2 linked regions of the Caenorhabditis elegans genome follow. The protein of the gene in region 1 purifies or fractionates together with the protein of each later gene. This does not show direct contact. Each region holds a gene or a part of one and is shown in the gene's direction. Other genes may lie near its edges.

The links. Proteins that work in one complex are often made in the same cells at the same time.
Region 2: the proteins of aex-4 (region 1) and Y82E9BR.18 purify together in Caenorhabditis elegans (affinity purification with mass spectrometry, with the first as the bait; one large-scale study listed by BioGRID). This does not show direct contact.

Annotation. Positions count from the first base shown.
Region 1 is NC_003284.9:3,727,128-3,732,473, forward strand, and holds aex-4 (t-SNARE protein aex-4), read left to right. Parts: upstream 1-2,153; 5' UTR 2,154-2,263; coding exon 2,264-2,286; intron 2,287-2,334; coding exon 2,335-2,437; intron 2,438-3,056; coding exon 3,057-3,147; intron 3,148-3,198; coding exon 3,199-3,316; intron 3,317-3,370; coding exon 3,371-3,430; intron 3,431-3,501; coding exon 3,502-3,603; intron 3,604-4,393; coding exon 4,394-4,538; intron 4,539-4,629; coding exon 4,630-4,692; 3' UTR 4,693-4,834; downstream 4,835-5,346. Other genes in the region: nlp-1 (Neuropeptide-like protein 1), read left to right, coding at 466-582, 629-826, 892-1,050, 1,103-1,159; tag-18 (uncharacterized protein), read right to left, coding at 4,934-4,974, 5,020-5,153, 5,203-5,346. UniProt on the Caenorhabditis elegans protein: t-SNARE protein which regulates the secretion of aex-5 from intestinal cells. Involved in the defecation motor program, which is a coordinated series of three muscle contractions that occurs every 45 seconds.
Region 2 is NC_003281.10:1,480,505-1,485,646, reverse strand, and holds the start of Y82E9BR.18 (Nuclear export mediator factor NEMF), read left to right. Parts: upstream 1-2,139; 5' UTR 2,140-2,169; coding exon 2,170-2,233; intron 2,234-5,142. Other genes in the region: Y82E9BR.19 (F-box domain-containing protein), read left to right, coding at 521-676.

The DNA of each region.
Region 1 (5,346 bases):
ACAACACAAGTCTCGAAAGTGTTGTTAGCTCAACCTTTCGCCCAATCTCATCCCATAAAACATATAACTTTTGGTATACATTTGATTGGCTTTGGCAATTCCCGGAAGAAAACGCTTTCAGACTTTTGATTCTTACCGTATTACGTTCAATGTTTTTCTTTCCGGAAGTGTTTAAATTTTTTCCTCTGTCCCATTTTCGTCATGCACGAACACCAAGAAACCGTAGTTCAGTTGTTCAGTTTTGTCTTGCATTTCCCAACGGCCCTATATTTTCAAAAAAAAAGGTTATTTCTTAGAAACCACTCAAAAGTCCAGCCCATTTTTTCTCCTCTAAAATTGCAAAAAATTGTCAATTTCTCAACACTCATAAGCCCCGCCTTCCACGATTTCGCATGGTTTTATGTTTTCCCTAAATTGTACTTTTCATATATTTCCTGACATTTCAGACATCAACTTGAGGCAACGATGAAAGCCACATTCGTGCTGGCATGTCTTCTTGTGATAGCTGCTGTTTCCCATGCCGATCTCCTACCAAAACGAATGGACGCAAATGCTTTCCGCATGTCGTTTGGCAAACGTAGCGTAAGTTTGACTTTTTTTTGAAACATTTCATGAAAATTAGCTTCAGGTATCCAATCCAGCAGAGGCAAAACGAATGGATCCAAACGCTTTCAGAATGTCCTTCGGGAAACGATCAGCCGAGCAGAATGAGCAAGCTAATAAGGAAGACAAAGCGACATCCGACAAGCTCTACGACGACACCAAATTTGAGGAGATGAAGCGCATGGACGCCAACGCTTTTCGCATGTCGTTTGGAAAACGCTCGGTACGTTGTCGTCGTCTTTCATTGCGACCCTAATTAGTGCTGGTGTCTAGTTGCTCTTTTTCCAGGATGCTCATCAAGCCGCCGATGATCAGGTCGAGTACGTGAATGATGACTTTTCACTCCCTGAGCAAAAACGTATGGATGCCAATGCGTTCCGCATGTCGTTTGGAAAACGAGTCAACTTGGATCCAAACAGCTTTCGAATGAGCTTTGGAAAGAGAAGTGTACGCAGAATCCGATCATCAACATTCCCCTAATATTCCATTTTTTTTTCAGACAGTCGGGTACAACTTGGACGCTCGGAACTACTTTGTCGGATTGGGACGTCGTTAAACTCCAGCGAACATCAAGCTACTTTCATCCCAATTGCTTCTTCTTAGTCCCAAATATGATAACACTCTTTCCATAAAATCGTTTTTGTGCAATAAATTGATTGTATGGGAAATACATCGAAGATCTTTTAGCTAATAAAATGTTACAAAAATTGCCGTTCAATAAGCTTATAGACCTTTCCAAAGAATACAATTATCAGTAAATGTTCCGCAACTGATGCTCCAAAACTGGATTTTAGGATTATAACGAAAACTTCTGACTGGCTCAGGTATCATGCTGCCGCTACAATTTTTTGCATTGTTCTCTAACATAAGACTAATGTCTGATATCTTGGTGAATATTAGACCTGTGAGAAAATAATTTAAAGCCATTCAAATTATGCTAAAAATGAACAAGTATCCCAACAAAATTTAATTTTGGAAATATTTTTTTCTTGTAAAAAAAATGGTCGACCTGATTTGCGCATTTTTTTGAGAAATCTGAATCACTGCCAAATATTCTAACCCTGCAATGTTTCAGTATGAATATTACACACTTCATTAATTGAACCCAAAACTGGACGAAATTTCGATTTTTTGAACGAAGACTTTAAAAAATTTTAGCAAATTCAGTTTTAACCAATTTTGACTAAAAACATTTTTCAAAATTTTTATTAATTTGGTCAATATAGGAATTTTTTTTAATATTATTTTCTCACATGCCGTAGTCCACTTTTAATCAGAATATCCACAGCAAAAAAGCATCTTCCTAACAGGATTAGTTATCAGCTGATATGCCGACGTGCACTTTGACAAAAAGTCAAGAAGTGACGATAGTGATAAAACACAAATGTAGGTCAATATGGTCACGACTGGAATGTGAAACATTATAGGGACAGAGTGTGTTAAGTTATGAAATTTTCCGTTTCCTCCGAATTTGATAACTGCGTTTATGTCGATCAACTCTGCGTCACTTTAGGGGGAGGACACAATTGAAATTCATTAATGGAATTTTTGATAAGAAACATGAGAGCCAAGTGTGATAACACCGTTTTCTTTTTTATTATCGATTTTGACACTGATTCCGTATTCTGAGAGTTTCATCAAAAATCAAAAAATTGCAAAAATGGCTAGAAAAACCATTGATTCGTAAGTTCTCTAAACTAATAAATAAATCATTACTCCAACTTTTTGCAGAATTCCAGAGCCAATTGCTCTTCCAACAGAAGAAACAGTTCAAAAGCGCATTAAACTGAAAATGGTGGATTTGGATGCAGAAATAGCGAAATTGAACGTACAAGTGCGTAATGTAATAAAACAAAAATCACATCATGCTCTTTCCGCTTCTGAATACATAATTGAGATGTCAAAAATGCCAGCTTGGAAATTGTTTCTTTTTTAGTAAAATCATTGACGTTTTTAGATGAAACCATAAATAATTGATTAGGAAAGAAACAAATTTTGGAAACATTAGTTAAAAATAGGGGTGCGCGGACATTTTCAAGCAAAATTAGTGATAGAATCTAGGGAATTTTCTCATTTATCAAAAAGTTTTTTCATTTCAGCTGAGAAATGTAGGGAAGCCACAAAAACTGTCGGTAAGCTGGAAGTTGCCTCCGTTTTTTTGGCAATTTTTCTCTTTTATGAAATTTTTCAGTGCCATCAAATGGGGTTTTTTAAAAATATTTTCCTAAAAATTTTCTATGAAGAATAGTTCTACTTAATGTCAAAAATGCATACTTTAGTGCATATTAAAATTCTTGTGAACACGTGGTTGTTTTGCCTTTGCTTGTTTTTATCTATATTTTTCAATCAACAAATTACGATGTTTCGTTAAAGACCACTAGAAATCATAAGAGTAAAAACTACTGTACCCGTGAGGTTACTGTAACAACCCTGCAATGTTTTGAAATTTTCAGAGTCTTGACAGTAGTATACAGATGATCCGAGATATCGATCAAATGAATGTAGATGCAGTCCAGACAACTGCTGCTCTTGAAGATCAAGACGGTTAGTTTGTAGGATGTTTCCAACAGCTACCTAACTCAGATGCTTTTTTAGAACAGCTTGACAAAATCGAGGCGAATCTCAGCAATGTCATCGATGATCTGAATGTTGTTTCACATAACATAACAGCAATGGAGCATTATTGCGGATGCGGCTTCTTTCGAATTCTCCGGTTGGTGACTTTCGAATAAATCGACACAAACACGGTAATAAAAATTGTTTTCAGCGCGCCATTCAAGTATTTTCGAAAACGAGAGCGTGACATCATAAAGGAAGAAGTATTAGAGTAAGCATAAACACACGCGGCTCTTATAGAGTGCTCTCGGTTGCATGGGAACACATTTATTAAATTTTCAGAAAAATGACGAGCCCAAAATTGCGACGTAAAGAGGAAAGTAACATGATGATGTTCACGAATTCCAGCAAGCGAAGGGAGTCTACCGGGGATTTTATGAAACGGTAGGTAGAATATTGGTTCAAACTTTATAATTTTAAACACGAGTGGTGCGAGTAATTTCCTTGATCTATTAGTGCTAATGGAAAATATTTTAGTTTCTGGACATTTTTTGCGAAAAACTTCTAGAAAACGGCAAGAAAAGGTAGATGTCTGTTTTTGGCATTGCATTATTGTCTTTAATGACGGAGAAACTTTTTTTGGAAACATTTTTTATTGTCCTATTTTTCCTATTAGAAATGCCCGTTGCCTTCTGCTTTACAGTGACAGCTTCCCTTTCAATGCTATTTAGTTTTATCAAAATCTAATCAAGCAACATTTTTCTCTATATTTCAGTAATAACAATTTTCGATTAAAACTTAAAACAACCGAGATATAAGAGTTTTCTTTAAAATGTATTATGGAAGTTCAAAAATTCCAAAAAAAAAATGAAATGTTCCTTCCATATTGCATGTTGCCAACTGAACCGCTGCTGAAAGCTGGTGCTTATAAATTTGAGAAATGTGAAAAAACAAATCATTTTGAAACTTGGTTTTTTAGATTACATAATAATTTATATTAAAAATTGCTATTTGCCCTTGCATGTTTTAACATTTTATGACGTCTACGTAACTTGATTTTCCATTTTCTAAGATTTTTTAGTCTTAACATATATTTTTGTGTTTTATATTTTAATTTTATATTTTAAGTTTTTAAAAATATTTAGAACATTCATACAGCCACGTCGTATGTCGCAGAAATGTAGATTACAGTTACATAATTAATTTTTTTTTTCAATTTCCGTAATTTTTTCAGTCTAACATGTGACGCAATAGAAGATGAGTTGGAACGAAACTTGATGCAGATTGATCAGGGACTTGAATCTGTCAAAAATTTGGCTGTTGATATGCACGTACAGCTAAAACTACAAGAACCAAAACTGAACAGGATAGAAGAATTGGTAAGTGATAACAGAACGGGATTATAGCGCCTGTGTTTTTATACTTTGCCCGGATAGTTATCAGTTTCTATTTTTGATATTTTTTTTCCAGACCGAAACAAATGATTTTGTCGTGGAGGGAGTCAATGATAAAGTGAAAAAACTACTTCACTGACTTCACAAAAAGTGTGGTGCGCGCATTCCACGGGCTACAAACACATGGGTAAACTGTACATTTTCAAATATTGTTGAAAACTTTTAATTTTTCAATTTTAAATTCAAACTTTATGTTTTAAGCAATAAAATGATGATTTAATCCGTTATACAAAGACATGGAAAAGTTACAGTTAGTTTTTTTTTTTAAGCGGTCGTTATTTATAGGGGTTCGTTTAATGGTGTCACATACTGCTTTGCGTTTAAGAGAAAGAGTAGAAGTAGCGATGAGCTCCATAGCGAGCTGAAATTAAAAGGTGATAGTCTGAAACAATTCAATTCAACTAACCGGCTGGCAGGTAAACATCTGACCAGTCCTTTCCACGACGTCCCAATGCGGTTGGCTCAATCCATTTTTTGTCCAGTGTTTTGAAATCAATGCATCCGTTTCTGTACAAATCAATTGCAGTCTTCACGTTCTTTCTGAAATTTTTCATATTTTTTCACCCCCTCCCACAAAACTGTTCAGTACGTGTCGTATTGCCATGGTCTCCAGCTATTCCAGAGTGGTCTGTCGTAGTTGGGATCGCGATAACGTCTCCAGTAAGTTGGGTTGAGCCAATCAGTGTACCACTTGTATCTCGACCAGAATGGAGCGTACTCGTGTCCCAAACTA
Region 2 (5,142 bases), on another chromosome or scaffold:
TGCGAAATTTTGCAAAATTTGATGAAAACTGCGATTTTTATTTTTGATTTTTGCTCAAAAAGTTGGGAAAATGTCATTTTTTATTGAAAAACGTTATAAAATTTATGGATTTTCCCTATTTTCCCCGAGCAAAAAATCTATAATTTTTCCATATTTTATCGATTTTTACTCGAAAAAGTTGATTTTTTTTTGAATTTTTCATTGATTTTCACTCTGAAAATCGAAAAGTTTTGGAATTTTCTGCCAATTTTTGGACAAAAAACCAAAATTTTTTGAGGTTTTTATAGATTTTCTGAGAAAAAACCAACATTTTTCAGTTTTTCTATCGTTTTTTAACGCTAATTTTTTTTTGAGTTTTTAATATAATTTTTGCAACTTTTTTATTGGTTTTTCCACAAAAAGGTGGATTTTTTTGAATTTTTTTTTGAAAATTGATTTTCACCTGAAAAACCTCCAATTTTTACCGAATTTTATCGATTTTTCACCCGATTTTCACCCGAAAAACCCGTCAATTTTCCAGATAACCGCCGGAGCCACCGCCGATTCATTCATAACCGCCGCCGACGAGATATCATCGATGATCAACGAGACTGCAGAACTCCGAAAAAGAGAGGAATTTATGAAGAAATTCCCATTTCTGTCAAAATTCTCGTTGAATTCCACTTTTTATACTTGAAAAAACACGGATTTTTCACTCATTTTCCCCCTTAAAATTACCCTTTTTCCTCTAAGTTATTCATTTTTCTCTCTCAAAAATGCCCATACCTTTCACCTGAAAATCTCATAAATTTTGAGCTTTTTTATCTGAAAAAACCGAAAATTTGCCATTTTTTCCCGAAATTCTCATTAAAAAAATGGCATTTTTCAGCCAATTTTCGCCTAAATTATTCATTTTTCTCTCTCAAAAAACACCCATTTTCACTTAAAAATCCAACTTTTAGCCGGAAAATCCTCCCCTATTTCTCTTTAAAAATGCCCATTTTCCCCGGAAAATCGTAATTTTTGGCTGAAAAATTGGAAATGATGCCAATTTTTGCTTAAAATCTCTATTTTTCATCCAAAAAAAAAATTCAATTTTCGGGTAATTTTCACTCTAAAAAGCATTTTTTTTTTTTGGCACAAAAACGCCACTTTTTCAATTAAAATTTCGATTTTCACCTGATATTCAAATTTTTCGCTAAAAATTAGAATTTTTGTCCAAAATGTCGCATTTTTGCCAATTTTCATACCGAAAAATCTGAAATTTCGCAGTTTTTTGCCTGAATTTTGCCTAAAAATCCCATTCTCCTCGAATATTTTCACCCAAAATTTAAAATTTTTTGGTAATTTTCACCTAAAACTCGAATTTTTCGTCCAAACAGTCGAATTTTTGCCAATTTTCTTCGAAAAATTTCGATTTTCGGCTGAAATTTCACCCCAAAAATCTCAATTTTCTCGAATTTTTTCATATGTTCAGCTGAAAAATTCGAAAATTTCCGCATTTTTCACTCAAATTTCGTCTAAAAAACCTCTTTTTCTCTTCATTTTCCGACCCGAAACCTTTCTGAAATTTCCCAATTTTTCTCAACTTTCACCTCTGAAATATCCATTTTTCCCCATTTTCCACGTAAATTTTGTTAAAAATCACTGTTTTTTCACCTCAAATTCGAATTTTTGACTGAAATTTTACACAAAACCCCCCATTTTTGCTAATTTTTTAGCTAAAAATTTGAATTTTTCACCCAAAAACCCCGATTTTTTGGCGATTTTCACCTCAAAAATCATATATTTTCAGCTGAAAAATGTCAAAGTTTCCGAGTTTTTAACTCAATTTCCACCAAAAAATACCCATTTTCTAGCTAAAAATCACTGTTTTCTCACTGTTTTTCACCTAAAATACCCATTTTTCATGTTTTTTTTTTTGTAAAAATCTGCTTTTTCTCGCCTCCGGTACCAACCACTTTTCCCAATGTTACGCGTATTTTTTGTCATCAATTTCTCGAATTTTCCCCAATTTTTCACTGAAAAATTCAAATTTCCCGCACTTTTTGTCGTTTTTTTCCGATTTTTTCGGCGATTTTTCGAGGTTTTTACCCACTTTTTTACCGATTTTCAGCCTAATTTTTTCCGATTTTTAGCCCAATTTTTTCCGATTTTCAGCCCAATTTTCAGCACAAAAACTGGAAAAATATGAAAAATCGATTCACTTTGGTCGATGTGATCGCCGCGACGACGGAGCTCAAGAAGCTCGAAGGTGCTGCTTTTTTTTAGGATGAAAATTGAATTTCCCGTGCATTTTTAGCTCGAAAACAGGGGGATTTTCACTGAAAATTTCGAATTTTCCGCTAGTTTTTAGCCCTAAAAATAGGAATTTTCATTGAAATTTGGCCTTCATTCCGAGATGACAAACTTTTTGGTGGCAAAGGTTCTTTGGGGGCATAGTATCCAAGGAGACAAAGGATCCAGTAGACAAACTGGGGTGTATCTTGGGGGGCATATCTTTGGTGACAACCTTTTTTTCAACTAGATTTTTATATGTATTTTTCAACTAATTTTTGTTCACATTTTTCTGGAATAAGATTTTTAATGCAATTTTCAATCGATTTTCGGTTATAATTCCCTCACAATTGAATGTATGAACGATGGTCTTTTGGGAAAAGCTGTAAAACGTCCAACTTCAGCTCCGAAGGATCACATGGGTACCTTCTGATGTTCTGATCCTTCAGATAAGAAGGATCGTAAGGGTACCTCCTGATGGTCTGATCCTTCAGATCCAAAGGATCATGAGGCTCTTCCTGATGTTCTGATCCTTCAGCTCCAAAAGAACATGAGGCTCTGCCTGATGATCTGATCTTTCAGAGCCGAATGATCACATGGGTACCTTCTGATGATCTGATCCTTCGGCTTCGACGGATCATATGGATTTTTGACAAAATTTGAAAAAAAAAATTTTGAAAAAAAACTCGAAATTTTTTTTGTTATTCTTCATTCTTTAAAGAATAGTTCAAATTTATCATGATAGGACCGAAAACTTTCAAGAAACAGTATAACTATACATGATAATCAGCTTCTACCAAATAATGATAAATTCTCCGCGATGACAAACTTTTGGGTGACAAAGTATCTTGGTGGACAAACAAAAATTACCGAAAACTGATGTAAGGAATAGTGAAATAGAGTCCTATGGACTATTAAACATGTTCAGTAGGTGTATTCAGGACTGTCCGTCAAAATAAAAAAAAGTTTGTCAGACGAAGTTCGAACCTGGGACCTGTAGGATGCAAAGTGCGCTCACTACCACTACACCAGCTATGCGAAAGTCGGCGAGCCTCATCGAAGGCTATTATAAAACTTAGTTCGCACGAGTATGATCGACATTCAACAAACAGTAATATCTCTCAACAAGAATTTCTTCATGGAATTGAGGTCATTTGACTATTTTTATCGGTTTTTCAAGTTGAGCATAGGGTCTTTTAATTTTTTGAGCATAGAAAATCATGAAAGCTGCCTGTTCCTTGTATCCTGGATCAAAATAGACGTATCTGGCCTAAAATATTTCCTGAAAAGTGATCATTTCATGTCCATCGTGTGTTTCTCTGTATTTTGAACCAGAAAGTTGAACAAAAATGATAATATTATATCGAAAAATGGAACAAATAAATTTTAGGCCTAATCAAATTTTTTCCGGATATTGTTTTTTTGTCATGATTATATGTTTTTAAATTTTTTATAATGTGTTTTATAACAAAATTCGTCATTATTTCCTTCATTTCAAGCAAAATTTAACAGTTCGAGCTGAAAAATAGATGTTGCAAAAAATTTAATTCGTTTCGATGAATACGGTATACGGTCGGTGTTTGCGTACTTTGGCGTTTGCGTATGAAGCACCCTATTTGACGCACGAAACTGTCAATGAAATTTAATGCAAATTCTGCATCGAAAAGGACATTACGATGGAAATAATGAAGAATTTAATTATAAAACACATTATAAAAAATTTAAAAACATATAATCATGACAAAAAAACAATATCCGGAAAAAATTTGATTAGGCCTAAAATTTATTTGTTCCATTTTTCGATATAATATTATCATTTTTGTTCAACTTTCTGGTTCAAAATACAGAGAAACACACGATGGACATGAAATGATCACTTTTCAGGAAATATTTTAGGCCAGATCCGTCTATTTTGATCCAGGATACAAGGAACAGGCAGCTTTCATGATTTTCTATGCTCAAAAAATTAAAAGACCCTATGCTCAACTTGAAAAACCGATAAAAATAGTCAAATGACCTCAATTCCATGAAGAAATTCTTGTTGAGAGATATTACTGTTTGTTGAATGTCGATCATACTCGTGCGAACTAAGTTTTATAATAGCCTTCGATGAGGCTCGCCGACTTTCGCATAGCTGGTGTAGTGGTAGTGAGCGCACTTTGCATCCTACAGGTCCCAGGTTCGAACTTCGTCTGACAAACTTTTTTTTATTTTGACGGACAGTCCTGAATACACCTACTGAACATGTTTAATAGTCCATAGGACTCTATTTCACTATTCCTTACATCAGTTTTCGGTAATTTTTGTTTGTCCACCAAGATACTTTGTCACCCAAAAGTTTGTCATCGCGGAGAATTTATCATTATTTGGTAGAAGCTGATTATCATGTATAGTTATACTGTTTCTTGAAAGTTTTCGGTCCTATCATGATAAATTTGAACTATTCTTTAAAGAATGAAGAATAACAAAAAAAATTTCGAGTTTTTTTTCAAAATTTTTTTTTTCAAATTTTGTCAAAAATCCATATGATCCGTCGAAGCCGAAGGATCAGATCATCAGAAGGTACCCATGTGATCATTCGGCTCTGAAAGATCAGATCATCAGGCAGAGCCTCATGTTCTTTTGGAGCTGAAGGATCAGAACATCAGGAAGAGCCTCATGATCCTTTGGATCTGAAGGATCAGACCATCAGGAGGTACCCTTACGATCCTTCTTATCTGAAGGATCAGAACATCAGAAGGTACCCATGTGATCCTTCGGAGCTGAAGTTGGACGTTTTACAGCTTTTCCCAAAAGACCATCGTTCATACATTCAATTGTGAGGGAATTATAACCGAAAATCGATTGAAAATTGCATTAAAAATCTTATTCCAGAAAAATGTGAAC